2 linked regions of the Danio rerio genome follow. The main gene of each other region encodes a partner of the protein of the gene in region 2 in a complex. Links are inferred from orthologs where the notes say so. Each region holds a gene or a part of one and is shown on either strand. Other genes may lie near its edges.

Region 1 (15,361 bases), on a different chromosome or scaffold from region 2:
GATTGGTAACCATATTTTTATGTCTATATACAGTTGAAGTCAGAATTATTTAACCCTCTGAAATATTAGCCCCTTGTTTAGTTTTTCCCCCAATTTCTGTTAAACGGAGAGAAGATTTTTTTCAACAAATTTCTAAACATAATAGTTTTAATAACTCATTTCTAATAACTGATTTGTTTTATTTTTGCCATGATGACAGTAAATAAGATTTTAATAGATTTTTTCAAGACACTTCTATACAGCTTAAAGTGACATTTAAAGGCTTAACTAGGTTAATTAGGTTAACTAGACAGGTTAGAGTAATTAGGCAAATTATTGTATAATGATGGTTTGTTCTGTTGATTATCGAAAAATATATAGCTTAAAGGGGCTAATAATATTGACCATAAAATGGCTTTTAAAAAATTAAAAAACTGCTTATATTCTAGCTGGAATAAAACAAATAAGACTTTCTTCAGAGGAAAAAATATTATCAGACATACTGTGAAAATTTCCTTGCTCTGTTAAATGTAAAATTTTATGGAAAATTATGTTTTTTACGGGGTCTTTCCCTGTTTATTAAATGTCGTTTTAAATCTATATGTTGTTATGGAGTTGATTTTAATTCAGTATTTGTGAACTTCCATCTCAGCGACTGATTTCCATGAACATGCCACTAAACAGTGATGGCACAGTGACCTTCAATGCCACACTTTTTGCTCTGGTCAGAACAGCTTTGAAAATCAAGACTGAAGGTGTGTAATGGAAATCAAATTTAGATGTTTGTTTTGGAGCATATAAAATAATGGACAATTTCTTTCTGTTAGGAAACTTTGAGCAGGCCAATGAGGAGCTGAGAGCCATCATCAAGTCGATCTGGAAACGGACCAGTATGAAGTTGTTGGACCAGGTCATTCCACCAATTGGAGGTGAGACAGCTATGATGAGAATAAAATGCTGTTGTATTTGTAGAAACGATAGTTTGTAGTTTGATCTGAGATTAATTTCATTTATTTTATACAGTGAAGACTATGTAGTGTTATTTCACATTGGATTATTTAATGTCTATACCTGAATACTGTTGGACTGCTCCTATTAATAGACTTAAATCACTATTTGATTTGTATCTTTGTATTGTATTTATCTATACTCTAAATATATATTATATTTAATGAACTTGCACTTCTCTACAGAATCACCTCAAGCATTCTAAAATAACCAATTATTCTAGTCATGTCTAGTCAAGTTGGATGGTGGAACTGGTTTCATATCAAAACATCAATTTAAAATATATACTTTTTTTAACAGTAAAAAAAATATATATATAAATTTTGCACATTTCTGACTGTGATGTAAATATTCTATTGGCTACAGAGGATGAAGTCACGGTTGGAAAATTCTACGCTACCTTCCTGATTCAGGAACATTTCCGCAAGTTTATGCAGCGACAGGAGGAGTTATATGGTTACAGGCCCACCAAGAAGAACGCTGATGAGATTAAGGTGCACTTTATGAAAAACGTCTACCATAAAAGATCAATTTAGGATTAAAATACCTCACTAAAAAAGTTTGCTAGGTTACAAATAATAAAACAAGACATATTCTTAATTCTATTCTCACCTTGTTATGTAGGCCGGTTTGCGCAGCATCGAGGAGGAAGCGGCACCAGAGCTGCACAGGGCAATATCAGGTGACCTGATAGCAGAGGATGAGATGGAGCGAGCCATGGAGAGCGGAGAGGAGGGCATCTACAGGGTACTCTGAGACCAATCATCTTTAGCATGAAAGTAGATAAAGACATCTGTATTTACAGCCTCTGTTTCTCCATTCATGCAGCGGACAGGTGGTCTCTTTGGACTCAACGCGGACCCCTTTTCCTCTGAGCCCAGCAGCCCTCTGTCCACACAGGTCACCAGCCAGAGGCCCCTGCAGTTTGCGGAGAATCGGCCGGAGGATGCAGGGTCTCCTCCAGACTCTGTCTTCCTCCCAAACACAGAGTTTTTCCCTGATAACATGCCAACAACAAGCAACACCAATAACAATGCTAACTTCATTGAAGAGTGAGCACATAATTATAATAAAATGTACTTATTTGTGTATCTGTAAGGGTCATGATGCTCATATGAGGCTGTTTTTTTGTCATCCAGGTTTACATTTGAGAGCGAGTCACTGTCAGCAAGCAGAAACTATTCATATGAAGACATAAGTAAGTAAAAACAGTGGGCGATAGAAGAAAAAAGGTCAAAAACTAAGGGACTAACAAAATAATTTTGAATTAAGAAAATGTACTTTTATGAACCCATACAGTTTATTTATTTTTTTATTCTATACCTTAATGGTTTGGTAACACAGTTAACTATACTGTTTTATGTTGTATTAAATGTTATTAAGAAAGTGAAACAAATACCACAATATAATATTTTTAGAACAAACATATTATTCTCCAAGAGTGTGCTAAATTAATCAAAAATGACATTATTTAGAGATATTTATGTTGCTTAAGATTTTCCAATTGTAAATAACCAGGTTAATCTATTAATAAATGTAATTTAATAATTTAAAATGTATTGAATTAACTTGTGGCGACGCAGTGGGTAGCACGTTCGCCTCACAGCAAGAAGGTCGCTGATTCGATCCTTGGCTCAGTTGGCGTTTCTGTGTGGAGTTTGCATGTTCTCCCTGTTCATGTTCGTGTGGGTTTCCTCCGGATGCTCCGGTTTCCCCCACAGTCCAAAGACATGTGGTACAGGTGATTTGGGTAGGCTAAATAGTCCGGTGTGTGTGTGTGTTTCCCAGAGATGGGTTGCGGCTGGAAAGGCATCTGCTGCATAAAAACTTGCTGGATAAGTTCATTCCGCTGTGGCCACCCCGGATTAATAAAGGGACCAAGCCGACAAGAAAATGAATGAATAAATGAATGAATTAATATGTAAAATATTTGTAATGTTACAAAAAAAATTTGGGGTGGGAGGGGGGGTGGGTGGCTTGGTGATTTCCAAAAATAATATAGATGTTATTAAACAATTAGAATGACTATTAGAATATTTTATTTACAACCTACAGGAGATAAAAATAATATTTAATAGTTACATAAAAAAACACATACAAATAAAAAAGCCATCAGCCTTTCAATTATTTTTCCATTGGATTGTGACCCCTGGGGTTATTAAGCTAGATTAACAAGGCAATAGGGAAAATTGCAGCAGATTGATTTTAAAGTTAAATATTGACACCTTTATGGCACTCACATACATTAAAAACAAAGGTCACAACTGAACATAGAGGATAATCTCCAGGTTGTTTGCTGTAAACATTTTCAGTTAAGTCCATTTAATAATCTAGGGTCGCCACAGCGGAATGAACCACCAACTTATAGAGCAAATGTTTTACACAGCGGATACCCTTCCAGCTGCAACTCCCTACTAGAAAACATCAATACACCCTCATTCACACACAGTACAGACAATTTAGCTAACCCAATTCACCTATACCACATGTCTTTGGACTTGTGGGGGAAACCGGAGCACTCAGAGGAAACCCACGCGAACACAGGGAGAACATGCAAACTCCACACTGAAACACCAACTGATCCAGCCAGGGTTTGAACCAGAGACCTTCTTGCTGTGAAGCAATTGTGCTACCCACTGCGGCACTGTGCTGCCGCTGTAAACATTGTTCTCACTATTTTCATTAAGTGAGGTTATTATTAAATTAAACAAATTAATAATGTCAATATGCTTGTTTGTATAGTTACTATTGGTGTGTGAGCACCGTTGTGTGCAATGTTTTTATGTTTAAAACCCACCTCTGATCATAGTGGGGGTCGCGAGTCACTGGAAATGTTAATTTGGGGGTCGCAAGCTAAAAAGTTTGGGAACCCCTGATCTACAGTATTGTTTAAATGACATTATTTTCTTGTGCAACCAATAGGAGACTCCAGCTTGTATGTGGGCGGAGCCTCAAATGTTAATGACAGGCGGCTGTCAGATTTCAACGTGAAGACTAATTCTACACAGGTTTGAACACAAAACACATCATTATAATAAGCTTAGCAACTGATTTTCTTTTCTGACTCATTTGTTTGCATGTGACTCTCACAGTTCCCTTATAATCCCTCATGTGAAGAATCAAAGAACCAGAGATCAGCAGCAGAAGCCTCACCAGCCACCGACAAACTCATTCAGCAGGTAAACAATATGCATGTCCTCTTCATATTCATTCCAGACTTTCCTCTGAACTTTGATTAATCTGTATTTTGCCATGAATTCTCAGGCACTGAGAGATGGTGGTCTGGAGTCGTTGGCTGAAGACCCACAGTTTGTATCTGTGACCAGAAAGGAGCTGGCAGAAGCCGTTAATATTGGCTTGCAGGATATAGAGAGCGTGGCTCAGGGTATTGTCAATGGGCAGAGCGGCAAGGTAACCAAACGCAAGCGACGTCCTATCCCTGTTCCTCCCAGCAAAACCAAGGAAGCCACAAGTGCAGTGTAAACACATACTGAGAGACTTTTAACAAAACCATGAGACACCATCGCCCTGAGGCTTCAGCCATTGTTTAAAATCACAGACGTAACAGTTTACGAGCAGGTAGTGATTAAGCTGTGCTGTTTTTAAAGATGGTATTTTGGTTTAGAGAAATAATGTTTCCAAAGGACACGTACCATAATGCTGTTTCAATGAGGTCTTGTGATTTTGATTTCTGATGGCTACTCTGATTCAGGTTTGTTTTTTGGTAAGCGATTATACCAAACGTCCTCAATAAAGTGTTCACACTTCTGTTCTGTGAACATCTATAATTGACTGTGTGACAATACAGACAATCATCTGAAGCGTTGTAATCTGTGGACATGTCTAAAAGGCAAGTCTTTTTATTTCTTTACTTTGTTTAAACTGCGCAGAATGGTTTACCACCGCAGTTACAAATATTTTGTTATTGAATCGGAGAGAGGGTGGGAGGGAATAAATAAAGTGGTAAATAAAGTGAATTCAAAAGAAATATATAGTACACAACAGCATTTTTAGGAGTTTTCAGCTATAAACTCGTTTTGGCCATTCATTTACATGACAGCAGCTTTTTGGGGTCCTGAAAATGCATACTTGAAAGTACAATCGGTTAGTGAGTGGAGGTTTGTGAAAACAATACTATTATCATGTCAGTGTAAACTAAAAAAATGCAATTTTGTGAAAACGCTCACATCATACATAAGCAGTTTATCTTTGAGCGAGTTAAACAACAATGGCGGACTAGAGGACTTTTGATGATAGCATTGTGCTACATTGCCAACTATTGGCCTGGTATGCACAATACAGAATTTTTAGGCAGTTTTGAAAATGTTGTTGTTTCAATGAGAAAAGCTTCAAAAAACACACTTTTTTTGGTTTGTTAAGTACATCTTCAAGTAAACTGGCCTGTGTTTTTTATTATTTAAATAGTTATTTTGTGTTTGTACTCTGCACTTAAAGCCTCTATTTGTTTGAACATTTATTTTATTTACAAAATTACTTAAAGATGAGACAAGAAGGTGTATAGGATCTTACAATGTCTAATTGAAAGCATAATAACATTTTTATTTCACTTAAGATTATATTTTTCAAAAGAATCTTTCTCGTTGCTTAAAGTGGGACTGAAAATAATAAGTCGGCTAAAATTGGCTAGCTTATGGAGAGAACTGCTATTTTTTTCCCCTAGAATAGGTGTAGTGGTTTTCTTGGTTTTTCTCTTACTAAATCAAACTCAGTCTGGAGGTTATGAATATCAGAAGAATATACTTTATTGTCGACAACAAAGGAGAACTTTCAGGAGACCCCCAGTAGCATCTCTGTCTGAAAAATTCTGCCTCCCTAATCTCCTGGCCTGTTTAAATACACTTTGACAACAATTATTTTCCTTTGTTCTCCATACATTACACAAGATCCCTCCCCTAACCCCAAATTCCACCTCTGACATCTGTTTCCTGAGACACCTCAGGCTCTTTTACCACTCTCTTTTCATCCCTTCTTTTATGACCCCTAGTTGTTTCCTCAAGCCATTTCCCATGTCCAATTGTTTTAATGGTATGCAAGTCTACAAGCAGATTATACACATATAACCTGAATATATAGATTAACTTCACACTCCAAAGAGCACAAAATCCACCTCATAGGCAAACTATTTTTTATTAATATACTTTAGTGGCTTATACAGTATGTTGTATAGTGCAGGTGAGATGGATATAGGACAATGGAGTAAAAAGAAAGAGAGTGGGATCAGTACGTAACGCAGGCCGGATTTAAACTGTCCCTGTCAGAAGAACCATTTTTCTTTGTGCAATACCTACTGGCACTGACATCTTTTTTCTTAAAAATGTTTTTAATAGGCTAGAGGAGTGTTCCAGGGACATCAGGTGTACATTGATATGTGTTTCTTCCTTTTAACTGTATGAAAATAATAGTGAAATAATCATTACTGAAAACACAATGTTGCTTTAGAAGTTTATCATCTCAGTTCAAATTATTTTGCTCACGATGACCTCACTTTTGAAGTGCTGCAATGTTTATACGTAAAGTTGAAATTTAAAGACAAAAGAATGTGTTGATGCCTTTGGCTGAAGTCTTAAAGCTGTTTACTCTTAATATGTTTCCCTGTATTTTCTCTTAAACAACATTTGACTTTGTTCAGCACATCCGTGTATTTTATTCATTGCAAAGTGCAATTATTTTGCTATTGGATTTTCACTGCGCATATACATACATATCCACTTCAGCCTGTGCCTTGTCATTGAATATGAAATGAGGTTTAATTTTTAATAAATTGAAGAAAGGAGAAAAGCTAACATTTTTAACCTTTTGTAAATAGATAAATGCTCTTTAACCATTCAGATTATATCACATATTTTACCATATCTTGTAAAATTTGCTAATCATTTGAGGGCAACTTTAACATATAATTCCACTTTTTCTCAAATATACTTTAGGCTACTGCTTTTGATCACTGAACAAAATGAAGTATATCAGTGGTTCTCAAACTATGGTACGTGTACCACTAGTGGTACTTGGGCTTCCTTCTAGTGGTACGCGGAGGAATCAAATATGTCATTTGTACAAAAATGATTTAAATATGTTAAAAAATGATTTAAATATGAATATGATGACATATAGCCTATGTTTCCAGGTGTTGATAAATAGGCTACTATGTTAATACTTTACAGGAGTTTTTTTTTTTTTTTTTTTTTACTTTTTAACAACAGTAACCTTTAATTTTTACCTTTTAAAAGCACATTTTAATTAAAATGTTGACGTTTTTAGTCAGTAGTTATGCTACTGTATTTCAATACTGGTCATTTTGGAGGTACTTGTTGAGACAATTTTTTTCTGAGGTGGTACTTGATCGATGAAAAAACTTTGAGATCCACTGAAGTATATTATGCCGTTTCTGCTCAACTAGTGCCTCCTAGTGGGATTACAAAAAATAAACTATATACAATCCTTGCAAATGCTGCTGACATTTTGTCTTATTACTATCGTATACTGACACGGCTTAACAATTGAAATGGGGTTTGGCGGTAAAGTGGCAACATGTAATGCTTTGTAACAAAGAGTTTAGCTTACCTGTGAAAAAGTCTCAAATGAAACACAGTTCAAATTCTTCTGTCTTGTAAAGCACCACCACTATTCATGTATTTTTGTATATCTTTGCGTAGTTTGGCAAGTAACTTAGTACATTTTATATCGCACTTTTAATCTCTTTTCCCAGATAACGCCTCAGACTCCGACTAGCTAATCATCCTCAGGCCCACCTGCTGCTATAGCCACGCCCCAAACTTTCGCTATTAGTCAAACTGAACAGTGATTGACAGACCCAAGTGAACAGCTTCGATATCTTGACCCATATATGACTTACTTATAATCACCGAACAATAAACCGGGATAAAATTATTTGTTTTAGCAACTTAAAAAAAATCTAGCATACTTCTTATGAATCCCCATCACCCTTTTTGTGACCTACATTGAATTCGCCTGAGAGCACATAGAGCAACTGAAAGAAGCAAAGTCAAGATCGATTCTATTCTAATAATATTCTTATATTTATATAATGTTTTCTCTGAAGACATGATGATTGGTCTCAGCTGTATTAGACTGTTGCGAGAAACTTGAGCAGGTCCTTCAGGTACTATTAATACTGCAGCACGTTACAGCTCCAGCTCCTTATGGCATGAAACTAAACCCATAAAGCGAAGATGAGAAGATCATACATGTAGTGTATGAACTTACATCACAAGCCTTACAGTGGTTAATTTAAGACTTCTTTTTACAGTATTTGATTGATTGATTTACAGTGATTGATGACCAAAACAGGAATTGTATTGTAATGAATTTATTTATACAAGATTTTTTACTGGCATCAACTAAGTCATGTGGCATAATATAACTCAGTCAGGCTTAACAAAAATACAAAAAAGCTGCTAAATCCCTAAAAGCAAGTGGGCTGATGTTTCTCATCTTGACAATTAGCACATTTCCAGCAGTCCATTAGAATGAAGCTCTCAGATGAAATAATGAGGCTTTTTAACATTTATGCCGTACTCTGCCAAAGCCGGTGTCAGATCTTCCATCGTCAGAGTGTACTTCTTGTCCTGGAAAGTGAGATGATTATAACATGTGAGATTTAAAGATCAAGTTTTTTTTTATATTGTACATATAGTCATTCTAAAATGCATTGTGCGCACAAACCTTGGCCTTGTTTCGGGAGCTTCCAGAGGCTGTGCCCTTCATTTTGCAGTGTTGTAGTGCATCGTTTGCAATATCAGAGATGAACTTCTGAGATGCCAGAGATATGAGACGAATTCTGGCAAAGAAACAAGGACATGATGTAAAGGCAGATTCATGAGGGGTTTATGAAGATATAAAAGCATGTTTTTTTATGATTAAAAAATTAACACCAACCTTTTATATTAAGATAGCATTTTCAATATTAGCTTGTTACCGACTAACAAAAATGCAATACTTTACATTAGACAAATGTGATATTTATTTCCTGTTCATACTAAGAATAATAACCATTTATTCATTTTCTTTTCGGCTAAGTCTCTTTATTAATCTGGGGTCGCCACAGCGGAATGAACTGCTAACTTATCCAGCACATGATTTACACAGTGGATGCCCTTCCAGCTACAACCCATCACTGGGAAACGTCCATACACACACATACACTCCAGACAATTTACCTTACTGAATTCACCTACAGCACATGTTTTTGGACTTATGGGGAAAACCGGAGCATAATAACCATTTAAAGGTTTACAAATTGTATAATGATGATGATGAAAACAGCCTGCCACATACACTTTTACATGCAGTGAAGTTGGACCACCCCGACCATAAACAAACATCACATAATTCAGGAGAAGACAGGTTAATGGAAGGTAGCTTTTAGAAAGAGGAAATAAAATATATTAGGGAAAAGGGAGGTGAAAAAAAAAAACCCTCTCCGACTGCCGTTGAAGTAGGGCAGTGTAAGATCAGGGGAAAGAAAGCCCCAGCACGAGCACAAAAACACATAGACATAACATCGCAACAGGTGATGGGAACAGGGGATGTGGATATAGTCCGATAAAGGCGGCAGCCATCTGGTCCTGCCCCCAGAGAGCCCCGATCAAAGACCCGTCCAACAACCCAGAAAAACGTTGGAACAACTTTTGGATAGTTTTAATTTTCCAGCTGATGAACATGACACCTAAATCGCATCTTTAAACAATTTAAGCAAAAATTCTGAGAAAATCTGAAATTATAAAATTATTACATGTTCACTTTACACATTTTATTTTACACACACTTTATTTTAAGGTACAATTCTCGCTGTTAACAACCCATTATCTAACACTTTTAGCTCAAACTACTCACTTGTTGCTTATTAATAGTTAGTAAGGTAGAAGTTGGGTTTAGGTATTGGGTAGGATTAGGGATGTAGAATAAGATCATACTTTAGAAGTACTAATAAACTGCCAATCTCTTAATAACAGGCAGCTAATAAGCCAGTAGTGAAATCGTGGAAACCGATAAATAAACTAAAGTATTAAGAGTTTTTGTTTATCTTTCATACATTTAAAGTGCTTTTATCATATTTGACCCAACAGCTTTCTGAGAGAAAGCTTTCTTATTCCGAACTCACATCCTTGGATCTGATGCTTCAAATCCAGCTCTGTTGAGATAGTATCCTGTAACTGCGTCTGGAATCTGAAGCACAGACAGTTTGTTAGCAGTACAACTCATAAAATATCATTAATAACCAAAGAATAAACTACAAATCACAAAAGGGAGCTCACTGTAGGAGTGTAATCCTCCAGCTGCATGAGGAAATCTGCCAGTGGTGTAGTTGAGATCACAGGCTTCACGTCTCCGTTGGCGATCTCTGTGGGCACATACACGCCGTTTGATACAGTGGAGTCGGAGGATGGGGTTGCCATGGAAGCCGAAGTAGACACTTTGAGGGCGGAAAGTAAGTATAACAGACAATTTAAGGCAATAAAACAACAATTGACATTACAGGCAACAATCAAAAGGCAGCTAAAACTTCTCTTTCATGAGCACTAAACTACAACCTAACAAAAAATTCTTCTTCTCATTCTTTCCTTAATCCCTCCCTACTTAAGTCTGCATTTAATAAAATTTCCATAGATTATTTTGCTAGCGCAGATTGTTAGTCTCAAAGTGAACGATTCATATGTGCAAGTTAATCCACTTAAGAGGAACAGTTTAATCTAAATCTGACCATCTGCTTCTGCTCTGTTATGGCAGTTCTTCTCTGATGACGTCAGTTTGACAGATTGGAGCAAAAGATGCTTAGCCACACCTCTTCAACCGTTAAGTTTGCCACAAGTGAAAGATGACAGGAGCACAAAAATAAAACCCGCCCACTGCTCAATATTTCAATTCAGTTGGAAATAGGTCATCACACTGAAATAAAAGTTTGCAACAACTTCCTGTTAATACAGGCATTAAAGTGGGCATTGGCTCTTTGTGATAAATCACAATACCCTTTCTCATTTGACAGTTGCTTTGGACAAAAGTTGGACAACTAAGTGTAAATAATTGAATTTATAATTAAATGTTTGTAGGTAAATGCTAAGCTCTCTGATCAGGGCTGGGTAGTAACTAGGCCCACATGGAATCTGTGTGCGCAGAAATCCACAGATTTCCACAGGGTTTTTTTTTGCCAAATTTATATATTTTATTATATATATATATATATATATATATATATTATTATTATTATTATTATTACATTTATTTCAGTAATATTATTGACCATATGAAAATGTTCATATGATTTATTTACAATACAGTTTGTAAAGTAATATTTCGTCTTTTAGTAGATTTTAGTAGACTTGCTTTGTTTACCAAATAAGTGCATCTAATTATTTAATTAAAAAATTAAATAAGTTAAAATTCCATATATTAAGTATTTAGTTAAGTTGCTTCCAAAATCTTTTTGCATAAATTCACACATTTTTTACTTCTGCGCAGAAACAGCAAAAAATGTCTGCAGATTCTGTCTGGCCGTGGTAATAACACATGATAACTATATTTTACATGATATAATTTTCAAATAAAACAGTAATATGTGACAGGATTACAATATAACAACTAATAGTTTTTTTTAATATGATGCAGCTTAAAGTGGCTTTATGAATTGTGTAAATAAATGCATTAAAACCACAAATTTTGTGAATTGGTCGCTCTTCATTTTCTTTAAGCACAGAGTCTGCCCCAGGAGTTTATGTTGACATTAAAATTTGGTATATTGTGAATTTACTGTTTAATAATGGAAAAGTATTTTAGTGTAAAGTGTAAATAGGAAGTGTAAGTAAACTAATTTTACTCATTTTAAAATAGAAACTATCACTCACATCTTACTATCTTTTTTTAATACTTAGTTTTTATGTATTTTTTTAGAAACATATAACCAGTGGGAACAAAACAAACTATAAAACATATAAACACACATACATAACAAGTATATACGTGTATATACACAAATACATCCATTCCACACAAGTATATCTATATGCATACATATATAAAAAACAGTAAATTAACCTCATCAAGAAAATAAATGAATAAAAAAGTACAAAACAAATATAATAAAAGGTTGACAAACATTCTCGCAATGATGCATAACCTCTAGAATTACGTAAACGTTAAATTATGGATAATTGTATTGCCGTTGTAGAGAAAGCCAGCCATCTCTTTTTCTATTTGTAATCATTTTTTCCATTTCTGTTATTATTTTGAGCGGATCTTCTTCATACCATTTCCAGGTTATAGCTTTTCTTACTTTTTGCCAATAATATTTTAAATAGATATCCAGCCTCCTTTTCAAGTTTAATAGTTATGTCCCCTAGATAAAGTACTTTGAATGATCTAGAAATATGAAGATCAAAAATATAATTAATGGCCGAGAGTAGTTTCTCAAAAACTGTTCATTCTTAAGCACTGCCAGGATATATGTGCATGATGTGCCTCTTCTACCCCCCACAGTTGTCTCACTACCTTTATACCTTAAAAGAAACAAATTTTACTTTCTTAAATCGATTTTTTAAAATAAATTGTCACTATTTGCACCTTGATTTGAAAATGTGATTGGCTTGTTTTTCAGTTGTTGTCTATACTACTATACCCGTTTTATGCTATTGCCCTTGAAAATTCACTGTTGTACTAATTGCAGTAAAAAAGAAAAGCAAGAGCACCCCAAGAAAGAAGACTTGAAGTTGACCATGTAATATTTAGCTGTAGTGAGGAAATGTCATGTAGGCCACATTGCACATTGCGTTTAAAATCACTTGGATTTCTGTGATCAACCCATTCTGTCAAATGTTTGTCTGCATGCCTAGGTGCTTGATTATAATACACCTGAATTCAATGGAGGGGTGTCCCAAAAACGTTGGTTTTTGCTGTAACGTTACCTCAGATCTGTGAAATGTTCATCTCTTTGACATGCGTTTGACAAGTTTTACAATATACGAGAAGTTTAAACGATTAGTTATCTGTTTGCTTCGTACAACTATTATTCAGGAGCAAAAATCTGCATTAAAACGTGAAATAAATAAAGTTGTGACTTTTTTGTGATAATTGGCGATAACAACTAATATAAAAAAAGCGATAAACTGTTATTATTTTCAAGTCACATCGCCCAGTAAAAAATGAGTGTTGTGGAAAAGACACACAGAGACACACACCATTGCTGCTGGCGAGCGCAGGGATGCTGCTGGCGTTTGTGGTGCTGCTGTTCGGGACGCAGTTGCTGCTGCTGGACGCCGCCGCTGCTGCTCCGGTCTGCGTGAGATCCACGTTCATTTTCCCGGCTTAGTTTATGTATTGCAAACGCTAAGCTATACTAGAAAAACACACACAGTTTAAACTAATGTTGGGTTGAGTCGAGCGCTCATTTATGCCGTTTAAACGGCGAAGTATCGGTCGCTCGCTCTGATGATAAAAATATTTACGCTGCAACTGCGTCAGGTGATCAACACTTCCGTGTGCAACCACTATGAAATCCCGCTTGGTGTTGGAAATCGTCAATGGTTCCGGATAAATCCCTTTTAGCTCACATTTATTATTTGTAGTATTGAATTTAAAGCGCAAACTTTGTCATACGTATTTGGCATTCAATATATAATTTGCAGTTCATCCAAAAGGAGAAAGAAGAAACATATTGCGTGTGTAGACCTAGACCGAGGACATTTTGCAACAGCTCCATCTAGTGATGGCGGTGAAGTGGGTTATTTCACACAAAGGAATGTCAGAAAACTTAAATATAGTTATAGTGTTCAAATTACACTTTAAGGTCTCTGTGACTGCAACTAATACACTTAAACCACAAAATAATCTTGTTATTAGCGTATCAATCTTACATGCTGTCATGTTACTCATGTTATCTTAAATAATATTAATAATTAAAATAAAATAGATTATACAAATATAAATTTGACCACCCCTATGGTTAAAGGCATAATCGCGCCAATCAGTCTTTGCAAGACTCATTCAACAGCGTGGATACTGTAGTGTTCGAGACAGTTCTCTTGTAAAATAGGTGTTTGTATAGTTTGAGTTACAGTAACCTCTAAAATAATAAGAGAATATTTAAATGTCTTTAGATGTCATTTAAAAAAAAAGGCTAAATTTGACAGAGTAATTTGCACTCTGAGTATTAGTATTAAATATATTATATATATTATAATAATATTGTAAGTATTATTATAATACTTTAATTAAAATTTGAATATATCATCTTATAGCCTGTCATTTAGAGTTTATTATTTCTAAAAATGGCTATTAAATCTTATGGCATTATTCATTCATTTTCTTTCAGCTTAGTCCCTTTATTCATCAGGGGTCGCCACAGCAAAATGAACCGCCAACTTATCCAGCCTATGTTTTACACAGCGCATGCCCTTCCAGCTGCATTCCAGTAGTGGGAAACATCAATATACCCTCAATCACACACATACACTACGACCAATTAAGTTTATTCAATTCACCTTAACTGCATGTGTTTGGACTGTGTGGGAAACCAGAGCTCTTTTGGAATTAATGAAATTTAAATAAATTCCTTAGAATGCCTGCTTAAATCCAGTCCAAAATAATAAATATTATTCTGAAAGGTTTCTAGAACAAACTTAAGTGTGTTAGATCTTGGAGGGGAAAATGTTATTAATTTCCTAAATGCTTTTTTTGGACACTAATATTAATTAATAGATAATTTAACAAAAGAAAAAAAAAATGTTTGGGTGTGTGAAAACACAAAGGTTTGTTCTCGTATTTTTAAACTCTTTCAAGCCAAAACACACCCTAACACAGTGTCACGAGTTGAACATAAAACTACAAAAATATTTTTAATAATTTGAAACTTAAGATTATTTTGTTATTAATATATTTACAATTTTTAATACAACTTTTATTGCTTTATTATTTGCCTGCATTTGATCATTTATTTTTATAAATCACAATAAGGTTTCTAAATCTACATCTTCGATTTAGATATATGGGTGGCACACATAACAGTAGTCACATCAATGACCAACATAAAATGTTTCCAAATTAAAAGCATTTTGTTTTATTGTCACAAGAATCATACACTTTAGTAACAAAATCAAAAATAAATGTGCATATAGAAGCCACATATCAATATGTATAAGCCTACGAGAGTATGATACCATAACCACCAGATTCGACTGACACAGACGCTGACAGTAAGGTACAGATATGGTCAGGATGGTTCAATGCCTTCTCAACCATTGTCAAGTCGCTGGAATGACGAACAAAAAGATAAAAAAAACATGCCATCAGATGAAATCGTTAAGACTACAACACTCATTCCTCATCCTCCTAGCATTACATTTCACAG
Region 2 (16,594 bases):
TCTCATGCCTACAAAACTTACCTGTACAGGTGGTCTCTGGAGTGTGGTAGTGGCTGTGCTGCTGGCTGTATGAGAGCCCTGCTTTATTATGGTGGTAGGGGTCACCTGTCGGGCCATAAGAGGAGTTCCAGGTGCCTGCAGGCGTACAGAAATCACACAGACGTCAACTTGCTGATACTGACATGAAAAAATGAATTATAAAAAAAAGAACAGAACTAGTTTATGGCTAACTGTAAAATTAGGGCTGAACATTAATAAAACATTTAATAAATATGTAAATTATAATCATTATTACTTCTTTCAAAACATGCTGATTTATTTCTCAGAATTACATAATCTAGTCTAAAACAGCTCATGACATGTGTTATTATAAAGGGTTGATGCAGATTTCATCAAGTCAAATATAAGCCTTTTTAAGACCACAATGAATGAAATTTTAGACTTATACAGGGCTAAACACTAATGATTACTTCTAATGGCCTGGTTGTAATTATTATTGTAATTATGTAAGGTAATTATTTCATTAATGTATCAAAACAAGAAAACTCTAATTGTATACACTAATGTCAATACGATATTTCTTTTTTTTTAAATGACACATTTAACATTATTAAAAGTATATTTATTGTGGAGGCAACACACATAAACAATACATACATAAATAATTACATAAATAATCAAAAACATATAAATTTGTTGGCTTTTAGTCAAAATTAATTAAGTATAACTCAATAATGTAATCGTTTTTAGTTTCTTTAGTAATTGTTTCCCTGATATTATTAAGATGGATTGCTGGTGATTAGCTGGATGCCAGCCCAATTTGTTAGCTTTACTTGGACAGAGAAAATTTAAGACCTGTTTAAAATTATTTACGACATACAATACAGTATTTTAGGGAATTTAAGAACTAATTTAAGGCCTAAAATTTTGTTTTTGAAATTTAAAACATTTTAGGATCTGGCAGATACCCTGATTATAGATCAAATTATTAACATATTTTACATTAGGGCATATTTACATCAGGGCTGCACACCTTACAGGTGCCAACATTAGAAGTGGATCAAAAAAATATTTATTTAAATCATTATTCTAAATTGTTCTAAGACAAGAATGGGGGTTGTTAAATAGTTTTAGGACAACTCTAAGTGATCCACTTCAAATGTTGACTACTGTATATCAAAACAAAATCAAAGTAGTGATTGGGCTTAGCCTGACTTTTACACAGCACAGGTTTTAAAGCTAAAAGCTCCAGTAAATCATCTTGACACGTAAAATAAACTTCATTCTGAAACGGCAGAGCATTTTTAATTGCTGACAATAGATACTATATTTTTGCAGTAAAAAAAACTTTTTTTTTTGTTTATTTTACAGTACAGTTGTGTTTATATATATCTCTATAACATTTTATAGACACAGTTTACACACTGTTTTATTTCTGGTAGTTTATAGAACCACAAATATATTTACTATTCCGCAGCAACAGCTACAGTCATTCTCAAATATGCAGTGCTGCTGATGTCAATTCAGTTGAGGGTGGTCAGATCGGATGGCATCACCTGAGCAGGAGTGATCTGCGCAGGGGTGGTGCTGGCGGGGGCAGCAGGGCGGGCGGCCTGAGTCTGGGCCTGCAATTGTGCCAACATCTGCTGTGGAATCATCAGCAGCTGACCACTGTCACTGCGCACCAACACCATACCTGGACACACAAACACGACACACACAGAAAGGTTGACATCACTCCCTATGCAAATTGTTATTCATTAGTGAGCTTTTTTCCTATTGATCTGACTGGAATTGAGTCTGGCAAGCGTGCCCTGCTTAGAGGCAGGAAGAATAAAGCGCACAGTTGGTGGCCTATATTTGCATGACACACTGAGAACCGCACAACACTCCGTCTCCCGTTACTGTGTGAACCAACGGATGTGTTCTCAACAGAAACTCTTGGTCGGAGAATCCAGATGGCCTCTTGTAGAAAAATCTGTCAAGTACTCTGTCCAGCCAGACAACGAGCTTGTCAGAATGACCAGAGCACACAGTCATGAGAGAAATCTTCAGAAAAAGATAAACTAGATGTGCATTTCCTGAATATAATACCAGTGTGTGACTGCAACGTTTTCAAACTTGAATTAATCAACTCTGGGTCAATCTACAGGTAAATAGGGTTGGGTTAATTAATTAATTGAAAAGAAATCGAAATCGACATTTAGAACCTATAATCGATCTAATTTTTCCAGGTAATTTTTTCAGTTACGTTCCCTACGATGTGTGGCGTCACATGACCCTGCTCTGTTAAGGCTAATTTATACTTCTGTGTCGAATGCACAGGTATCGTCTGGCACAGCCTTGATGCGCATACCCATGTACCTCTTCAAAATGTAACTACACATTGTCCATATTAACCACTGGATTCATTCTGGCTTTACATTTATTGGCCACCAGTGATCATTTGTAATATTAGTTTGTATTATTTTGTCATGAAACAAAAGAAAACAATAAAAAATAGAATTAAAAAATGTAACTACACATCGCAAGTTTGCACCTTGACAATGATTGGAAGCTGCGCCAGAGACGACATATTTTCCATTACAAAAACAAAATTATATTTACATTAAAATATTAGTTTACAGAAGATTCAAGAAATGCTTAGATTATTATTTACAGGATATACAAGTCATTTTATTTAGAAACTATACTGCTTATTTTCTACTTTTAATATAAAAAAAAATTAACACTAAAAATAATTGTTTTTTTCAAAAGTGCAAGTTTTCTTTTTTTTACTTTTTTATAAGAAAAAAGTGACTGTTGGTTTTAGGCAGAGTGTGTATTAATTTCAGTTGTTCAATGTTGATATTCAATAAATAATCATAGATGGCACAGTATGTGTTTTCAAGTAATGCTCCCTTCATTCAAAAATCTCTCACTTGTAATACTGTAAAAAACTTGCTCAATAAATAAATTAAACAATCATTCAATAATCGAAATCAAGGTTAAATGTTCAATTAATAGAAATTTAGATTTTAGGCCAAATCGTCCAGGCTTAAATCTAAACCCTGGTTAAAAAAGATTCTGGGCTTTCTGGTTTCACACTGCTCATTCATCACCCACACTGTAAAAAATTATAAGATCAAATAGTCATAACAGCATATGTTTTAGTTCAATGTAACTTAAGTGAATCATGTTCTAACTTAATTTTATAAGTTACACAAGCTGTTTAAGTCGGTTCAACATGATACAAGTTCAATGAACTCAAAAGGTCAACTCAAATTTGATTCAGCTTAAAAATTTAAGGCAAACTGAATTTTTTACAGTGCAGGTTTAAAAGAAAAGTTCACCCAAATTGACACACTATCTAATTACCCTCAACTGGCTCCAAACCTTAATGAGTTTCTTTCTTCTATATTGATATTTTAAAGAAGGCTGAAAACCTGTGGCAATTGACTTCAATAGTAAACAAAAACGAATACTATGGAAGTGGAAGTCAGTGTCTGCAGGTTTTCAGCTTTCTTCAAAATATCTTCTTTTGTGTTCACAGAAAAAAAGAAATTTAAAGAGTTATAAAACACGGGTGAGCAAATAATGACATAATTGTGCTTTTTGGGTGAACTACCCCTTTACCATTCAACATGGGGTATTCATAAGGCGAGGGATGACACAGAGATATATATATTGATATAGAGGTATATGATTCTAACAGTATGATAGGGCTGGGCAATTAATCAAAAAGTAACGAGATCAAATTTTTCCAGATCAATTGTTTCAATTACTTTCCCTACTGCATACGGAGTCATGTGACCCCAGTCTGTTTACACTCTGCGTCGAGTGCAGCCTTTACACGTTCGTATACCCCTCGCCATAACTGACGCCAATGCTGACCTCTCAAAAAAACATACGTCGCAACGACACATAGCACAAGCTCTGTGATTGGTCGGCTTGGTAACATTGACGAGTGTGGGTGCCATGGAAAGGGAAAAAATACAGTAAATAAATTTAAGAATTATTCATTAATGTGAATCGAGTTAAAATGTTCAATTCATCGAGATTTTGATTTTCACCCAGCCCTACAATATGATAATCTTGGATAAAAATATCATGGTTTCACTGTACTGTGATTACTGCTCTAGCATGAATTCTTTTTAAATATCTGGGTAATATACAAAAAAAATATACACAGTATAATTTATTTTGAGAAGCATTTAAAATAATTTGTAATTGTAAGCATGTCAGGCTAAATAATTCAAATGAATCATTGGCTTCTGCTATCTTCGTTAGATTTCAAGAACACAGATTTATTTACAGTTTAAAATGCATCTTAGGATATATTTTCTACTGGTGACACTTTTGCTCTAATAAAAAAAAAAAAAAAAGTTAAAATCTTACATATACCATAGAAACGATTAAACAGAAAATATTGGCGTTATAAAACCTTGACTTTTCCAAACCATGGTATACCTTGAAAACGGTTATCCTCCCATATAGAGAGAACACCCTTGTGGGCAAATTTGCTTTGTCAGTATCATTGTTTTGATAAATACAGAATGAGACCTGTTTACGTAACTGTTCTAGCATTGTGCATCCTCATTTTACCAGCAAGTTCTTCCTGAATGGACTTTGCAGACTATACATGTAAGAATGAAACTTTTTTTTCACTAGTCACATTTTTATTCATAATTTGACTTTTTTTTTTTAAATGCTAATAAAATCCCATTTCTTAAACAAGTGTGTAAACATGAGATTTAAAAGCTGTCTTTAGAGAAACCCCAGGGTTACACAAAATGTGGAAATGTGTCTCATGTACAGTATGTGTCTGAAAGAACTTGCGAAATCTGCTCAGATTACAATACCTACTAGATCTGGTAAGATTGTGAAAGGAGCACACAATAGACACTATCCCATGAGGCTATGGGTGAGGATCTGTGCATGACAGTTAAGCAACAGGAGTGATGCTGGTAGCTCACATGACAATGACAAGTCCAATGCAGTATGCAGAGTAGGCCTGTCACAATAATCAGTATAGCGACTCATCGCAAAACACATGGACATGACCTCAATCATTTTTGGTGATGCAGTATATGTATCGCCTAGGGTTGTAACGGTATGAATTTTTTACGGTATGATAATCGTCTAAAACAATACCACGGTTTGACGGTTTCGCGGTATACGGTATGTTACAAATGTTACAAAATAATAGAACAGTGAAGCAAATTTGACTTTTTCCAAATAATATATTTTTAGTTACTATAAGCAACACCACTTACAATGAACAAATAAAAATAAGAAAATAATAAATAATGTGTCAAAGCACTGGAAAGCTGAGATTCTCTTCTTTATGCCAATCTTTGAATTGTATGAATCGGATCAGCGGATCAAAAGTTATTAAACATTTAAGAGCAATACTTATTTTTAGCCGCGGGCGGCTGTCTCGGTCTTTAAGGGTTAAAACCGTTGATATGCAATTGTTCATGGTATTATAATCGTGCACATTCAAATCGTGGTAAACCGTCATACCGGTATATTGTTACAACCCTATCGCCCTTACTTAAAAACCAACATCTGCAACATCTCTATCTCTAGTGGAGGTGTCAGTGTCAGTATATGGTTAAAAAAACACTATAGTATTTACTATAAATTACTTTAGTATATGTTAATGTGGGTGTCTGATACAGTAACTGAAACAATCTGGTAGCAGATATCGCAGCCTCTGTTACTTTTTACCTTGCACTTTTTTGATAACATTTATTTTTATTTTGTAAGATATGCAGTTTCACATTCTGATTCAAATGCCTAATTATTTAATTTCTCAATAATTCAATTAAATGAAGTTTGTTCATAAACTAATTTCGAGAGGATCACTTGCTTATGATTTATCACGGCCGGTCTCGTATTTGCTAATCACTATCTTCCAATCATATGAGTCCTAAGCTACTATAAATAACCACAGTTTTCAGTTAATTTTATCTACACTTGGAAGAAACCCCCCTTCCTCCCCTATTCTCCTCCTTTACCACTGATCAGGCAGCACGGAGGCCCAGTGGTTAGCACTGTGAGCCCCACAGCAAGAACACTGCCGGCCCTGGTCCCACCAGGCCGGTCGGTGTTTCTATGAGGAGTTTGTATATTCTCCCCGTGTTTCTCCCCGATGTCTCCGGTTTCCTTCACCATCCAAAGAAATATAATGTGTTTTTCAAAAGAGTGAACTTGCATTGCAATGCTATTATATTGTCATTTGGCATTTTATAATGAGTGGCAAAAAATAGATATCGTATCGGCCTGATGCAGAGTGTATGATTTATATTAACAAGGTAGAAAAAAATTAAGAGACCTTTTCAAAATAATTTTCAAGTCTCTGGATTTACCATTAATAGATGCAGGTTTTTATTAAAATGTTTATTTGGGTTTTAAATTGATTTTATGAAATACTCATAACCTCAAAATTAAAGATATCATTTAAAACATTTTTTGCAGAAAATTACAATAGGTGAAAGAAAAATATTCCATATTTTCAGACCTTAAATGTGTAACATACATATGATACGTTGAATGCGATGTTTGCAATAAAAACCCAAAACCTATAAAACATTTTTTTTTAATTATAGGTATAAAAATAATTATAAAAACAATCAAAACATATTCGGTAACATTATATTGCAACTGTTTATATTTTCCAAAACAACTAACCACAGAGTTATGGGTAGGCATGGGACGATAACCGGTTTCAAAGTTTACCGCGGTTTAAAAAAGTCAAGGGTTTAATACTGGAAAATGTTTCTGCTATACTGTTCCTAAGGTATGTATAAGTTTTTTTACGTGTTTTTACACATTTTTTTATAATTTCTTAGAGCAATAGTATCTTTAGCAGAAAATGACCCTCCAAAAATGCCTTTTCAAGTTGTAAAGAAATCTGTGTTTTTTAAAAAAAAAAAACTATTAAACCAGCAGAAGTCAAATAAAATATATTGTGCTTAATGGGGAAAAAAGTTGTTGTTTTTCACAAAGACATTTAAAAAAAACATGAAACTGTGAAATTTTTATCCAGGTTTTTTTTTTTTTATATCGTCATACTTATACCGGCCCATGCCTAGTTATGGGATAAGAAAAATATCAATCTGTAAACATATTCTATATTTTAAATGGGAAAATAAACATGCATTATGGATGTGACCAAAAAGGTTTACAGTACACAGCACACTTTGTAAAAATTCTGTGAATTAAACTGCACAACCCAAAAGAAATAATGCTAATCAAAAGAATAAGAGTTGGCCCACTACAGAACAAAAATGATTAATTTTATTTGACATTTTTGCATTTATGAGTAAAAGGCTTTGTTATGTATGTGACACTTTTCAATTATGGATGTGACAAATGTGAAATTGCCAATTGTGTGACTTTAGTAAAGCAAATAAAATAGTTTGAAACACTGACAGAGACATGTTTGAGTATTACTATTAAATACTTGCTTACACTGAAAAAAAGTGTAAAAACGGTTTCTCTATTTAAGTGAAAACTTTATTTCTTTCATGGCAAGGTTGACATTTGCATGGAATTGCTTATATATGTGAAATACCAGAGCTGTATATACTTTTTTTGTGGTTGTGAAGTAATTACCTACACATAAGCGTGAGTGCAGACAAGGCACTTGTAAGAAAGTAAAAGAACAAGGCTGAAGACTGAACAGTGCTGACTAAAATTACCCAAATGGATGGTCAGACTACACTTCTTGTTAGATTTACATCTATTATTGTATATGAATGCTGAAGACTGGAATCACATTTAAGAAAGAACTTTGGTGAACTCTGACCCTCAAATTTGTATAATCTGAGATGTGACCTCAGATGACTTTGTACATGAATTGATACAAATGTACATGAATGAAGAGTAGCTTATTTTATGAATTATTGATATATATTAGAGCAAATTAAAAAATATGCCACAGAGTAAATATTAATAATTTAAATTAAAATATAGTTAGTTTTTGACTAAAAAGCATGGAGAGGACTTTAACATCAATTTGCTTTCAATCGACTTATAAAGACACAGTTCACCCAAATATTACTAATAATCATGTTGTTGGAAGTCTGCAGGACTTACTTCTCTCTTAATAGAAAGAAAAGTCACAAAGAATGTATGGAGACTGAAGCTGTCAATATGTCTGACAGCTCCTATTGAAGAAAGCGAGTTAGGCATGTTCGGAGTGTGTTTTAGATAAACTAACTTTTAATTACACTCTAATGAAGATATACTTTTGTTTTATGCACTTATTTTTTTCAGTTTGCAAGTATTTCAGGAGAGAGCAAACTTCACACGAAACCAAAACACTCCTCGTAAGTTTCTCTATACACATATCATGTCATTCCAGACAACATTCAGGGAAAGTGCTAATGTGAGCGTGGGGTACCTGGAGGTAGCTGGATATTCTGGATGTTCTGGCCCGGGCTGCTCTGAGGGAGTCGGGGCGCTAACACCTGTGGCGCGCTGGCCCTGATGGTCGGGCTAGATGATGCTGATGCTGCTGCAACAGTTGCCGGAGCTGCGGTTCTCGCAACCCCCTGCAAAACAGCCCCCTTGGCCACTGCAGGGCCGACAGTCATGCTGCCTGCGGGCTGGATGATAGTTTTAGGAGACTCGGACTTGCTCGCGGTGACAGGTGCAGAAGTCTGGTTCAACAAAAGAGGGGTCGTTGTAGTAGTAGAACTAGTAGTAGTAGTTGAAGTAGTAGTTATTCCCGGGGTCGCTACATTGGCTACAGAAATGGTGGTATTATTATTACTTCCGTTAATAGTTAAACCTGCTCCAGCAGTTTGCATAGATGGCCTGACAACTGTCACTAAGGGTCCTGCACTGGATGCTGCGGCTGGAGGAGTCCCGAAAGAAGACTGTATCACTGTGTTTGGGCTTGGGGCGACCGTGACGTTTCCGAGTCCTTTCGCCACCCCGGGCCCGTTATTAACAACCGGGACAGAAGTTGAAGCGTCGTCTGACGATGATGATGATGGACCACTGGACACTGGAGTGCCGCTTTCAGTGTGCGGATCCATTGCATTGCCTCCGTTCAAAGTTTGCACTGTGGACGTCCCGATCAAAGTAGTTACCATAGCATTAAGAAAGACCGGATCGCCTTAGCTGTCTTCCATCTGTGCCTCTGGCACATCAGTTCAGGAAGTTTGGGTTTTCATCGGCTTTTCCCTCCAGTTGCTTTTCGAAGGAAACAAGCGTGAGTGAATGGGAGTCTCGTGTCACAATGTCAATAAGGATTTGACAAGCGCCCGTGTCACCTCAAGTCCATTAGTAACAATGCTCTTGGGAGAAATAATCATCTAACACACTTGAAGAGCGACTGCTTTCATTATGTTCATATGTACAAGAGCTCGCAAAATGTCAACATTAGCTAGTTGAATTGCCTCTTTTCCCGGAGTCAGCGGGGTGATTTTCCGGCTGCCTGGGCGCTTACCTCAAACTTATTATGGCAAGATGTGGAAACGTCTAATCTAATACAACCTGAAGTGTCGGTAAAAAGTTTCTTTCCCACTCTTTTAATACAGAAATCCTTATATAGCAGGTCAAAGCCTGCCGCCATCTTCGATGTGAACAGTGAGGAGCTTTGGATAAAATGACATTGCGCATGCGCGCAAAAGCGGAAACGTCATTACGCTGAAGTTTTGTGGAGCCGCCATTGGTGGTCTCCGTGCGTGGAGGCGGGACATGAGAAACGTCAGTTGATTCTGGCGGAGCGCGGTCAGAGTCGGTCTGTCATCGAGAAAAGGGCCTTGTGAAGTTGAAAAACAACCGTTGAATTATACGGGCGCTGCTCTCGGTTGTGTCTAGAGGCACTTATAGCTGTTATGTGCGGGTTATAAAGCATGTAGAGGCTGTTGTGTGAACTTCACAGCGGGCTGTCTTCCCCCAAGATGGCCCCGTGTTTTGAAGCGTCTGTGTTGAAAGCGTGAAAAGGCGCCACACCTCTGCCAGCGTGACTGGCCATAGAGGGCACGCGTGCTACTGCAGCCATAGTTCACAGGGTTTCTGGTCACACGCTCAATCTTCACTTTAACTTATGCTACACTTTTTCTGTCAATGTGCACAGCGTTGCATCGGGATAAAAAGTCTGTATTTTGCAAGCACGTTATAAATAAAATATGGCTGATTAAATAGTCAACGAAGTGACAGAAAGAACCAATAGAAAGCTCTTTCTTGAACCAATAGTACCTAATTTTTTTCTAACATAATGTGAGCTGACACATTTGCTCTCAAAAGTCCTCCCTTATTTTTATAGGTGTTTTTTTTTTATAATTTGATAACATTTTGTTAAAATAGCAATTAATGAAACTTATATAAAAAACTTTATTTATCTGTGGTTGCCACAGCGGAATAAACCTACTTATCCAGCATGTTTCACGCAGCGGATGCCCCTCCAGCTGTAAACCCATCACTGGGAAACATTCATACTCTCTCTCATTCACACTTATACCCTACTGACAATTTAGCTAACCCAATTCACCTATACCACATGTCTTTGGACTTGTGAGGGAAAACCAGAGCACCTGGAGGATACCAACGTTAACATGGGGAAAGCATGCAAATCCCACACAGAAATCCCAACTGACCCAGCTGAGGCTCGAACCAGTGACCTTCTTGCTGTGAGACGACATCGTTAAACAAGCATCACTAAATATTAGTCGTGTTTTTCTGGTTGTTTTCACTATTTCTAATCATTTCAATTAAGGATGAGAACTTTAACACTTAACATCTATACCAGTGTACTTTACAACTACTTTAATTTACTAATTTAATTAGTTTAATTTTTTAATAATTAAAAAACTATTTAGATACACAAGCATTTTATTGGTATTAATTTTGCACTAATCAATATCACCAGTGAATCAGTAAACAAGTATGAGTTTTATAAAAAAAAAGGCAGATCAGATCAATGTTCATAAAGGTCGCTGATGATGTGTGGTCAACGTTTCTTTCATTTCTGATTTGAATTAAATAATGTTTATGTCATCGCGTAATCTGCTAGATTGAATGGAAAAAATAAACATAATGCTCTGGAGCAGTTGGTTCTTCTTGTATTTACAGTATACAGTGCATCCGGAAAGTATTCCTATCGCTTCACTTTTTCCATTTTATTTTATGTCACAGCCATATTTCAAAATAGATTAAATTAATTTGTTTCCTGAAAAATGTACACACAATACCCCATAATGACAATGTAAAAAAAGATTTTTTGAAATTGTTGCAAATTTATTAAAAATAAAATACCTGAAAAATCACATGTACACAAGTATTCACAGCCTTTGCTCAGTACTTTGTTAATGCACCTTTAGGAGTGATTCCAGCGTCAAGTAATTTTAAATGGGATGCTACAAGCTTGGCACACCTGTCTTTGGGAATTTTTGCCCATTCCTCTTTGCAGTACCTCTCAAGCTCTATCAGGTTGGATGGGAAACAACGATGTACAGTCACTTTCAGATCTCTCCAGATATTCAATAGGATTTAGAGGTCTGGGCTCTGGCTGGGCCACTCAAGGACACTGAAGCTGTCTTTTATTAAGGAATTTTGGAAGAGAAGATAAAAGCATGATTATACCTAAACCATAATTAATTAATATAATTTTCTTATGGCAAAACATTTAATGATAAAAAAAACCTCAAATTGAATGTGAACAAAACGTTTTGCTTTTAAACGATCAATATCAAGGATTTTGTGTTTATTTTAAGTTAATCATGTTTCAACTTATTCCTAACTTGTACATGATCCAACTTAATGTTTTAGGTCAGTTTAATTTAATGCTAATTTGATTTCACCTAAAAATTCAGTATGTATTAAATCGCAGCCCTGACTTTCTCTGCTCATTCGCTCACAGTTTCAATGACAAGCTGTTTGTTCTAAAAGAGATTTAAATGATTGTATTTGCATCACAGGTGCGGCTCTCCTGATGTGTGTGACGCTCATTGAGTGCCAGATTTAAATATCAAATATGCATCAATTTTTTATTGTTACTTTCTCTACGGTGTAAAACATAATTTCACAGTTTATAATGAAACAGTATTCTAGTGACCTGTTCAAGTAAATGCTTCAGAGGTACAGTCGTTTTTCCTACATTACTTGCTGAAAGGTATTCATTCATTAAATTTCTTTTCAGCTTAGTCACTTATTAATCATGGCTCGCCACAGCGGAATGAACCTCCAGAAAATGTTTTTTGCAGCGGATGCCTATCCAGCCGCAACCCAACACTGGGTAACACCCTTACACTCTCATTCACACACATACACGGCCAATTTAGCTTATTCAATTCAATACCGCATGTCTTTAGATTGTGGAGGCACCTAGAGCACCTAGAGGAAACCCACGCGAACACGAGGAGAAAATGCAAACTCCACACAGAGATGCCAACTGACCCAGCCGAGGCTCAAACCAGCGACTTTCTTGCTTTGAGGCGATCGTGATACACACTGCGCCTCCATGACACCCATTGCTTAAAGGTATAGTTACAAAAAAAAGATTTCCTCACCATTTTTTCACATTTAAGTAGTTTTAAATTCTTGTTAGTTTCTGAATTCTGTTGAACACAAAGAAGGATATACTGAAGAATGTTGAATAAACAGCCATTCCTTTACATTTTATCACTACTATAATAGCTAATTTTCTCCAACATTCTACAGAATATCTTTTTCTGGAAGAAGTAGATGGTGAGTAAATGATGAATTTCATTTTTGGATAAACTTTAATATTCACATCTAGTGAATACACCCAAAGTTGTAGATTAGCTCTTGACATTGGTGGTGATATACATCCCTATAGTGCAAGCATAGAACAGCACAAATTTTCTTTCATGCTATTCAAAACGTGAATAAAGGCTTTAAATACTTACAAATAACAATTAATGAAACATGTCCCATGCTGCAAAAGTCAATTGACATGATTTTACTGCAATCTGGCATTATGGAGGCATGAACATAGAGAAAATTGGAGAGGCACCTGATGCAAATTAACCGCTTTATCCTAATTAATATTTTTCAGAATTATGAAAGCCAAAATCAAAACTAAATTTAAATTACTTGCACAGCCTTGGTTAATATTTCTATGGTGGACTCCAAGCTAACTTGCCTTAAAAAACTTGAATCTCTGAAAAGTAGCTACTTATGTCCACATCTTGAAGGAGGCCTGGAAAAAAATCCTTGTATTGGTGCTTCTCATATCCAGATGTCGTTGACAGCATAAATAGGCCCAGCCAATCACACTGTTGTTTTGTGTTTGTATGAGGAAGGACACCAGTAGAGAATGTGATTTAACCCTTTATGCATGTTTAGATTACTAAGGATTGACAGAGCATTATTTTATTTTTAAGGTGATTAAATTATTGCCGGGGACATTTCAGTAATTGCAGGATATTGGTGGAGACACATACCCTTCGTCCATGCCATATCTACTCCCCTGGTTCACCCAAAAACTGAATATTGTGTCATCATTTACTCACCATTGACTCTAATAATATTTGCTTTTCTTACAATGGAAGTCAGTGATTAGATCTTTTCAGCTTTCTTCAAAAAATCTTTCCATCACTCGTTTTTAATTTGTTTGTGTTTAACAGGAGAAAGAGTCCTGTAAAGGTTTGAAACCACTTAGGGGTAAGTAAATAGGTAGTAAGTTGTCATGTAGGGGAATATCTTACAAATAAAGTGGAGTTACTGTAAAATGATAATAATTAAGAGTTCTAGCATATGTAGCTTAGTTCATGGGTATTTTGTGTTTATTTATGCTTTTAAATTGCATTATGAGATCTAGATTTTTGCTCCAACAACTTTTTATCTTGAAAAGTTTACTGATTTTGTTGACAGTTTCTTTGGGAGAGCAGGAGCTCAAGTCATTTCTGCGGGGTAAAAATCCTGAACCACTATGATGATGGACTTTGGCTAAATGGTTTTATGACAAAAATAACATTTGAGATGTTGTGCAATGTGGTTGGTCCAGTGGTTTGTCTATTAATACTATGACATTGTGCGAATGTTTCACATGATCAGTTAAACCATAATAACAAGACTTTTATGATGCGCAATGAAAAAAATGCTCTAACAACTTATGATCTAGAAAAGTTTACTGATTTTGTTGACAGTTTCTTGCGTTGCCCGAGCCAATACTATCTGACTGCAGACTTATATTGTAAGCTGACACCCAATCTTAAACATGCAATCTCAGACAGGTAGTGTTAGGCGCGGGGTTTGGTATGCACATTAAAAACATTGCATGCAGCTCATCTTGCATCTGCTGCCAGATCCTATTCAAGAGGGCTCAACGTGGTGCAACTTAAGAAAACACCAGCAAAATAAGAATTGGAATTGAAAAACACGCTGCAAATGCAATCACAAATAACAAAACACATTGCAAAGCCTCACAATGCAAACGCAAAAAGAAAACTGTGCTGCAAATTTTGACAACACATACATATAAAGAAAACATGTAGAAAAATCCTTAGAGCACATGCACATTGTGATCTAAAAAAAGTTGACTGAAGTTAGCATTGTATTTAAATGATATCGTCCTTTCAATCATTAGCCTACTAAAAGAGCCCTAATATTTTTTAATTAGCTTTTTACTTTTATCTGCAATTTATTTAGTCCTTATTTTAACAATAAAGCATTGTAAATTGCCCTATTAACCTTGAACTCATATTTAGTTGAGGATATTAAGTTAATTTCATTATCTAATAATGATTCACAGTTAATCATCAGAATATTTAGGCTAATAAATATGCAACAAAACAAAGGAATTGATTAATTAGGGTGTAAAATAAAAAAAAATAAAAAAATAACTTACATTCAGTTCACAACTTCACTGAGCTTTATCACTTTTTTTCCACATCCTCCTAAAATGTTTCCATTGTGGTCTATGTATTTGCATGTATTGTGAAGATTTGCAGTGTGTTTTTCTAATTGTGTTTGCGTTGTGACGATTTGCAGCAAGTTGTTTTTTTTTCCTTGTCTGTGTTGTGAAAATTTGCAGCACGTTTTTCTACAGTATATGTGTTTGCATTGTGACAATTTGCAGCACACATGCTATCAAACCGATAAAGATGTTTTCTTAATTTTGCTTGTGTTTGTTTTAATGCATGTGTTATCTTAAGCTGCTGCACATTAAACTCTCTATGCCACCGTAGTTTCTGTATTTTTAAGCAATTTATTCCCTGGGATCGAAAAGTAAATTCAAAATCTGCTTAAAGTCCCCATGAACTGGAAGCTTGTGACAACAAAATATTAAAGACAAAACAGTGGGCGTGGCTTGTTTTTCTACTGTGAATGGATGTAGTAAAGTAGGCATTTTATTCAGAAAGATCAGGAAAAAGGTTTGGGGAGAGTTATTACAACCTAATAGACTGTTTGTTGTCAAATTTCTGTTTGTTGTCAAAACCGACAGTTTGAGCAGTGTGGCTAAACATGTTAGCCATGCTCAATCTTTAAGATATACTAAATCTGACAATATAACTGAAAAAAAACAGGAAGTGACAACAAAATATTTTTTCTTAATGACATGCACAGATCAGTTCACCACAAAACTAGCAATGTAAGCTAACAAATTAATATGGCTGGTTTTGATTTCTTGGGGACTTTAAAACCATTACAAGAATAATGCAGTCATCCAATAATTGCTCCTAGAAAGATTTATGTAAACATAAACACCTTAAGCGATAGAAAACAAAATCCACAAAAAGAGCAACTCAAATATCAAACAAAAGGATTATGTGTATTTACAAAACATGTTTATCTTGTGTATTAAATTAGAAAGAGACAAGTGTGCTAGATTTGTATACAATATATGTACAAATACTTGTTCAAACTAAAATATTTTACAATCTAGTAGAGACTTTGTTTGAGATTACAAATATATTTGGATCAGTCTCTCCTCTGGTACCGTAGCGCTCCCCTCTGTGACACTCCAGGTAAGGACCCCAGTCTTCTGTAGGAGAGCAGGCAGATTTGATACGCTGGACCAAACAAAAAAGTTAAAAGAGATCAGAATAAATAGCATAGGAGTAAGGATTTCAATACATCACTTATATACCATCTTAATGAATTACCATCAATTTGGGTGAAATTGTTCACCCAGAAAATAAGAAAGAAAATGTGCTGGTAACTTACTTATCCTCAGCCATTAAAGATGACATGAATCAAATCTATTCAAAGCTCACAAAAATGAAGAAAACTATCCCAAATGCATTTCCATCAAGTTGTTAGAGCGGCTGACTATAATTTTCCCTACTTCAGAGTTTATTCTGCAAATGTATTTCCATCTGCCATTATTCTTATACAAAACTACCCCTAGCACGTGTAAAAAGGAGGGATTGTTTTTCCAAACTTGGAGTTCCCATCACTTGTTTCTCATGCAATACTTTCAAATGTGCTTTAACATGAGATGAATACCCAAGTAATTGCTACGGGTACATTGAGAATAAAAAAACATCAACAATGTGGACCATTTTTTAAATAATAAATTACACTTAAAAAAAAAAAACATTGATTTAAAATTGTAAAGCAACTAGCTTCACTTTTTTTTCTGCTGACTAAACTTAAAGAGTACCTATTTTTCCCCTTTTTTAAGATT

Evidence for each region.
Region 1: taf4a (region 2) and taf10 share a complex: the UniProt entries of both Homo sapiens proteins name them as parts of the TFIID basal transcription factor complex. The link is inferred for Danio rerio from reciprocal best matches to the Homo sapiens genes TAF4 and TAF10.

What each region holds. Positions count from the first base shown.
Region 1 is NC_133183.1:27,701,373-27,716,733, forward strand, and holds taf10 (transcription initiation factor TFIID subunit 10), read right to left. Parts: upstream 13,531-15,361; 5' UTR 13,312-13,530; coding exon 13,194-13,311; intron 10,439-13,193; coding exon 10,281-10,438; intron 10,192-10,280; coding exon 10,127-10,191; intron 8,804-10,126; coding exon 8,689-8,803; intron 8,592-8,688; coding exon 8,502-8,591; 3' UTR 8,320-8,501; downstream 1-8,319. Other genes in the region: cacna1sb (calcium channel, voltage-dependent, L type, alpha 1S subunit, b), read left to right, coding at 632-734, 807-908, 1,354-1,481, 1,612-1,734, 1,816-2,039, 2,127-2,185, 3,910-3,995, 4,080-4,166 and 1 more. UniProt on the Homo sapiens protein: The TFIID basal transcription factor complex plays a major role in the initiation of RNA polymerase II (Pol II)-dependent transcription.
Region 2 is NC_133186.1:23,082,977-23,099,570, forward strand, and holds the start of taf4a (transcription initiation factor TFIID subunit 4), read right to left. Parts: upstream 9,610-16,594; 5' UTR 9,090-9,609; coding exon 8,393-9,089; intron 1,697-8,392; coding exon 1,557-1,696; intron 136-1,556; coding exon 22-135; intron 1-21. Other genes in the region: slc6a14 (sodium- and chloride-dependent neutral and basic amino acid transporter B(0+)), read right to left, coding at 15,840-15,977. UniProt on the Homo sapiens protein: The TFIID basal transcription factor complex plays a major role in the initiation of RNA polymerase II (Pol II)-dependent transcription.